Ovis aries: one gene and its partner. The protein of the gene in region 1 purifies or fractionates together with the protein of each later gene. This does not show direct contact. Links are inferred from orthologs where the notes say so. Each region holds a gene or a part of one and is shown on either strand. Other genes may lie near its edges.

Evidence for each region. The genes of interacting proteins can lie anywhere in the genome.
Region 2: the proteins of PPP3CC (region 1) and RCAN3 purify together in Homo sapiens (affinity purification with mass spectrometry; 3 studies listed by BioGRID and IntAct, counting the BioPlex papers as one, with this or other methods). This does not show direct contact. The link is inferred for Ovis aries from reciprocal best matches to the Homo sapiens genes PPP3CC and RCAN3.

Annotation. Positions count from the first base shown.
Region 1 is NC_056055.1:43,134,284-43,137,934, forward strand, and holds part of PPP3CC (serine/threonine-protein phosphatase 2B catalytic subunit gamma isoform), read right to left. Parts: intron 1,234-3,651; coding exon 1,094-1,233; intron 1-1,093. UniProt on the Homo sapiens protein: Calcium-dependent, calmodulin-stimulated protein phosphatase which plays an essential role in the transduction of intracellular Ca(2+)-mediated signals. Dephosphorylates and activates transcription factor NFATC1.
Region 2 is NC_056055.1:242,165,851-242,169,501, forward strand, and holds part of RCAN3 (calcipressin-3), read right to left. Parts: intron 779-3,651; 5' UTR 733-778; coding exon 538-732; intron 1-537.

The DNA of each region.
Region 1 (3,651 bases):
TTCACAATGTCCTGTTCTTTTTATATCTTTGCCAATACCAGCAGTTCCAAAAGCTAGAGAGCTTTTAAAAAAATAACAGGATTCCCTTGTCTCAGGCTTACTGAACCAGAATCTCTGAAAGAAGAGCCAAGAAGTCTTTATTTTTCAAGAAGTCAACAGAGGATGTTTGGGAACAGATAATCTAGATTATCCAGAGTCACACAATAACACTTAAGCACTACACGATGTTGTGTTCAATTGCGTTTGGTATATTACACCTATTAGGGCATAACACCTAATAAAGTATAAAAAAACAAGCAAAGGAAGAAAAGCGGTTTCTTCCTTTTATTAATCAAAAAATTGAGTAGAAGTCCCTGAATGACACAGATGCAAGATACCAAATATGCAATTTAAAATACTTTGATAAAGTATATTATAACTTCCTCTTCTAATTTTCTGAGGATTCAGTTCAGTTCAGTCGCTCAGTCTTGTGCAACTCTTTGTGACCCCATGGACTACGGCACGCCAAGCTTCCCTGTCCATCACCGACTCCCAGAGCCTGCTCAAACTCTTATCCATCAAGTCAGTGATAACATTCAACCATCTCATCCTCTGTCGTCCCCTTCTCCCACCTTCAATCTTTCCCAGCATCAGAGGCTTTTCCAATGAGTCAGTTCTTTAAATTAGGTGGCCAAAGTATTGGAGCTTCAGCTTCAGCATCAGTCCTTCCAATGAATATTTAGGACTGATTTCCTTTAGAATTGACTGGTTTGATCTCCTTGCAGTCCAACGGATTCTCAAGAGTCTTCTCCAACACCATAGTTCAAAAGCATCAATTCTTTAGCTCTCAGCTTTCTTTATAGTCCAAATCTCACATCCATACATGACTACTGGAAAAATCATAGCTTTGACTACATGGACCTTTGTTGGCAAAGTAATATCTCTGCGTTTTAATATGCTGTCTAGGTTGGTCATAGCTTTTCTTCCAAGGAGCAAGCGTCTTTTAATTTCATGGCTGCAGTCACCATCTGCAGTGATTTTGGAGCCCAAGAAAATAAAGTCTCTCACTGTTTCCATTATTTCCCCATCTAATCTTAACTGAGGATTAGCTTACCTGTAAAAATAAGAGCACCCTCGGACAGTGTTGTGGGTATAGTGTTCCAAGGTCTTTTCATTGCCATAATCCTCGGAGGGATCAGACCAAAGCAGGTCACACACTGGCCCAAAGGCTGGAGGTTCTTTAAACCTGTCTAACTAGAAGACACGCAAAAGCCAAAAGAAGAGAAATCATGAAAGCAAAAGAGCTTTTGGAAACTGTATGTGCATGTTCAGTCGCTTCTGTCATGTCCGCCTCTTTATGACCCCATGGGCTATAGCCCGCCAGGTTCCTTTGTCCACGGGATTTCCCAGCAAGAATACTAGATTGGGTTGCCACGCCCTCCATCTGGGGATCTCCCGGTCCAGGGACTGGACCCTCATCTCTTTAGTTTTCTGCATTGCAGATGCATTCTTTCCTGCTCAGTCTCCGGGGAAGCCCTGGTCGAGGTCAAAAAAAGACCCTTCCAACCATAAGACTGTATTAGGAGAGTGGGCAGTAACCCCTAAAGAATTTTCCTTTAGGATGAAAATGAACATTTAATAAATTTACATGCATAGTTTTTGGTAACAAATTTTAATTAATAAATCCCCTTACGTCCTCATCTTAAAAGTGGTGCTCATTTAATTTGAATGTGAAGTCCATCACTATGGAAACATACTATTTATGAGAAAGACTATTTCAATTGCCTAGGTGAGTCCAGGTTACCATGAGAGCAGCAAGGGTTTTCAATGGCTCTGTTCATTGCTTATCTCATTCCGGTGGAGATTTATTTTAAAGAATGCTAGTTCGGGGGGGGGGGGGTTTGCAAAAGGTTTCATCCTTTCCATTCTCTGCAGTGGAGGCATTTCACCGTAAGTTATTAACTGAAGCCTCTAATCACTGGTGCTTTAGTTAACAAACGAAAACAAAGAAACAAAAGAAAGCACACGCACCAAGTGACCAGGCGAGCTGAATGCCAAGAAAAGGACCCCTACGAAATGAAAGGGGCGCTTTTTACTAACACGACTGATTTAGAATTGTAAAATTTGAGATTCACTATGTAAAACAATGAAAGTGCCACTATGTAAAACAGTGAAAGTGAAAGTCGCTCAGGGTGTCCAACTCTTTGTGACCCCCATGGACTATATATAGTTCATGGAATGCTCCAGGCCAGAATATTAGAGTGGGTAGCCATTCCCTTTTCCAGGGATCTTCCCAACCCAGGGGTTGAATACCAGGTCTCCCACATTGCAGGCAGATTCTTTACCAGCTGAGCTATCAAGAAAGCCCAAGAATACTGGAGTGGGTACCCTATCCCTTATCCACCAGATCTTTCTGACCAAGGAATTGAACCGGAGTCTCCTGCATTGCAGGCGGATTCTTTACCAGCTGTTTATTTAATGACAAGGCAGCAGAAAAGGCTGTGCATTGTTACTACCCTCTTACCCTGAGAATAGTAACTTTAAGTCAGAGAAAAGAGTTTTCCAAACAGAAAATTTTTTAGTTTCTGTAAAAAGAGGAAAGAGAATACCTTTCCTCTCTCTGTATGTAAGAGAGGTAAGAGAATATCTCTTCATGGTTCCATCTTGGAAGTCTGTATGATTTTAAAAATTTGTCTGTTTCTTTTAGGTTGCCCTATTTGTTGGTATATAGCTATTCATAATATTCCGTTGTGGGGCTTCCCTGTGGTTCAGTGATAAAGAATCTTCCTGCCAATGCAGGAGATGCAGGTTTGCTCCTGGGTCGGGAAGATTCCCTGGAGGAGGAAATGGCAACTCACTCCAGTATTCTTGACTGGCAAATCCCATGGACAGAGGAGCCTAGCGGGCTACAGTCCACAGGTCTGCAAAGAGTCAGACATGACTTAGCAACTAAACAAGAGAATGCAAAGGCAGAGGAGAGAAGATGATGACGCAGAACAATATAATTGAAAAAAGACTGATGGCCTTTTTTCAATCATGAAGATACACAGTCCTGAAAATCACGATTACCAACTAAGGCAAGTGTAGCAGTTAAACTCTACCATCTAAAAAGTCGAAGTCAATGAATTTCACAGATGAAGAGTCCTCAGCCCATCCATTTCAACTTCCTCATTTTACAGACAAGAAAATCTAAGAGGTTAAGTGATTTGCTATGGGTTACACAATTAATGGCAGCTTCCCTGGAAGCTCAGATGGTAAAGAATCTGCCTGTGATGTAGGTAAAATGGGTTCAATCCCTGGGTCAGGAAGATCCCCTGGAGTAGGGAATGGCAACCCACTCCAGTATTCTTGCCTGGAGAATTCCATGAACAGAGAAACCTGTCGAGCTACAGTCCATTGGATCACAGTCAGACACAAGTGAGTGACTAACACTTTCACTTCACTATCACATAATTAATGGCAGAACAGGGACTAGAACCCTGGTTTTCTTCCTTCCTTCAGTTCAGTCACTCAGTCATGCCTGACTCTTTGTGACCGCATGGACTGCAAACTCACATCCATCGAGTCTGTGATGCCATTCAACCATCTTACCTCCTGTCCTTATTGCAATATAATTTAAAGTTTCAGGGCTATACTCAAAATATGTTATGTTTCTAGTTTGTAAAAGCCAGG
Region 2 (3,651 bases), about 200 Mb from region 1:
AAGTGAAAAGTGAAAGTGAAGCCGCTCAGTCGTGTCCAACTCTTAGCAACCCCATGGACTGCAGCTCATCAGGCTCCTCCATCCATGGGATTTTCCAGGCAAGAGTACTGGAGTGGGGTGCCATTGCCTTCTCTGATATTCTCATAAAACATAATAAAAATCCCAGAAGGCTGAAAGTGAAAGTCGCTCAGCCGTGTCCGACTCTGAGACCCAATGGACTGCAGCCCTCCAGGCTCCTCTGTTCATCGGATTATCCAGGCAAGAGTATTGGAGTGGGTTGCCATACCCTAATCCAGGGCATCGTCCCAACCCAGGGATCGAACTTGTGTCTCCCTCATTGCAGGCAGATTCTTTACTGTGTCTGAGCCACCAGTGAGCCCCAAAATGCCAAAGCAATGTCTAAAGTTTGGTGCACACTTCTCTACCTGCCATGGACCAATAACAAATTTTGCAAATAGGCAGCTAGCAACTGCTTCCCCGAATCCACACACATTCAACACACTAGCAAAGACAGAGAAAGGTAGGAGGTATGCCTACCTTCTGCTCCGGCACCTCGAACACTGCCTCATGGACTCTGCAAGCAAAAAGTGAGGTAGGCAGGTCACTTAAATCCATCATCTCTTCCAAGTCATCTTCATTTTCACCAAAAACCATCTCTTCTTCCTCTTCGTGGTCAGTGCTGCAAAGATCTGACTGGCTATCATTCCAAGACTTCATAGCGTCCCTCAGCATTTTCCTCTAAAAGCAGATCGTCTCCGTTTTTAAAGTTCGAGGATGTCTACCAGGCATCAAGTGTTTAAAAAAAGAGAAAACAACAGAGATAAGATATTGAAGGTCCAATAAGGTTCCAATCAATTCTCAAGACAGCAATTCATCAAAGGAGGCAATTTTATTCAGGAAAGATCAATCAACTCATCAGGGTCCTCAGCAATGAATTCTATATATACTAATTTGATTTGCTTAGCATATTTTACATAAGATATTTCACAGGCAATGACTTATTATGAAAAATAAAGGCTGGAAGTTTCCTAGTGAAATGAGGTGGTGGGGGCAGGGGGCGGATAATACAAAAGGAGATACTATCAACATACACATCTGTTTACAAGCAGGGGGAAGGAAAACGTGAACCAGAACCTCCTTCCCATATTTGTTTGGGATTTAGGTCCACAACACTGAAACTTGGCAGAGCAGAAGAAAACCCACACGGATTCACTCACCATCTGCACCCTGAAATATGGCCTGCAATGAGCTGACTTCACCTTTTTTAACCAATCTGTTCTTTTGAATATACTCTCGAAGAATTAAGTTACACAGAACCCAAAGCTCTATATAAAGTCGGTCCTTGTTAATATCAGAAATATTAGCTACAGGCAAAATCTGACATAGAAGACAATTTAAAAAATGTCCTTTCAATGAATGCTTAAAAATAAATCCCTTTACCAGCATGGAGCGGATAGTGTCCCTCTGTTAAATAATGGACAGCAACTGCCTTATAAGACTATTTTTACCCGTTTTTATCTCTTCTGATGAACTGCACATGACACCCACCAGGCAGGTGCCTTGAACCTTACACATTTCAAGATGCTGGAATTTAAGTCATTACCTATCAGGCGCAAGAAAATTAAATAAGCATGATTATTACTACCTCAATATTACCTAATCTGTGATTTTTCTCTTTTATTTCAAAGAACACGAAGTTGCAAATAGATTGCTTACAAAGAGTACAATATAGAATGTTAATTATGGGGAAAAAATAGTGATTTCCCCCAGTTATCACACTATATCAATCAGGAAAGGCTAATTCTAAAAAGTAAATCTTCACTTGTTTTTACAAACATTTTCCGAATCTATACTGCATGCCAGGTACAGGGAGCCATGAGATGAATAAAGCATGGTTCCTATCCTCGAGGAGCTCCCACCCAGCAAGAATTTCTCCTCAACGACACCAACCACCTCAAAAGGATCTTGGCACCCACACATTTTTTTGTTTTCTGTGTGCTTTTTTTTTTTTTTTTTAATTTGGCTGCACTGGGTCTTAGCTGCAGCATGAGAACTCTTTTTTTTTTTTTAATTGGAGGATAATTCCTTTACAATGTTGTGTTGGTTTCTGCCATACAACAACATGACTCAGCCGTAGCTACACATAGGTCCCACCCCCTTTCCGATCCCACCCCTCTAGGTTGTCACAGAGCACCTAGTTGAGCTCCCTGAGTTATACAGCAACTTCCCACTAGCTATCTATTTTGCATACGGTAATGCATACGTTTCTGCTCATCTCTCATTCTTCCCTCTCTCTCCTTCCTCCTGGCCCCCCGCCACCAGCCCCCGCTGTGTCCACAAATCTGTTCTCTCTGTCTGCATCTCTATTCCTGCCCAGCAAGTAGGTTCATCAGTGCCATTTTTCTCGATTCCATATATACATGTTAGTATATATTTTTCTCTTTCTGACTTACTCCTCTCTGTATAAAGGCTCTAGGTTCACCCATTCCCCTAGAACTGAGTCAAATTCATTCCTTTTCACAGCATGTGAACTCTTAGTTGCGGCATGCGGTATCTAGTTCCCTGACCAGGGGTCAAACTCGGGTCACTGTTTTAGAGCTCAGAATTTTTTTCCCCCCTCTTTGGCTGCCCTGCACAGCATGTAGAATCTTAGTTCCCTGACCGGGAATCGAACCTGTGCCTCGTGCATTAGAAGCACACAATCTTAACCACTGGACCGCCAGGGAAGCCCTGCCTCCTATAGTTTTAATGTATCGGTCTCCACCCAGTCTTTCTTCTTCCTTAGCAAACATCTACCTGAGTCCCTGCCCCCACCCCACCCCAGTTTTGAAAAAAGAAAAATTTTCCATTTGGAGTCTGCCTGCCCCTCAATCCACCTCCCTGTGTCTCTGCTTCCCCTTTTCTAGAGGCATCCTGGAAAGAGGAATCGCCTTGACTCCCATCACTCCTGAATTCCAGGCAGCTGGACTCCTGTCACCACCTTCCGGCTGAACCGGCCCCGACTGGACAGCAGCAGCCTCCTCGGGGCTGGCACCTGCCTCCGGACGGCCCCGGTCCCACCCATCCACCGTGGGATGTCTCTGTGCCCCTGCCTCCCAGCTCTCCTTCCTCCTCATCTGTCCTCAAAGTGGCTCCTCTCTCTCCACTCAGCCTTTACAACTCTGTCTCCTTGAGGTTTCAACCCCATCCTCTTTGTCATCTTACTCTTCCTGAGCGCTTTCATCCACGCCCCAGCATTTAACTACGCTGCCACCAGTGTTTCTCAACTCTGCTTCCTGCTTCCCTGTGGTTCACCCGCATGACATGTGTCTATCAAGACAGTCTCTTGCTTCCAACAATTATTCTTCAGCCAGGAAAGATGTCACCGAAGTGAAGGGGGAAGCAGGATCTTGGGCACTGGAGGGGATGGTGGTTTGAAAAACAACGTGACCCTGAGAGATTCTAATCTGCCCTCAAGTCCTTCCTGCCTTTGCACACGGAAAATCACAGGTCTGTGTGAGTTACATACCTGGACTCCGCCTCTCCTGAGATCTAGACTTGCAGACTCGTCTTTTTAGCCTTCCACTGAATATGCCTAACTGGGTAGCGCACAGGCAACTACAACTGTTTAAAATTTCTTCCAGTAGATTATTGTGCTGGAAATCTCCAATC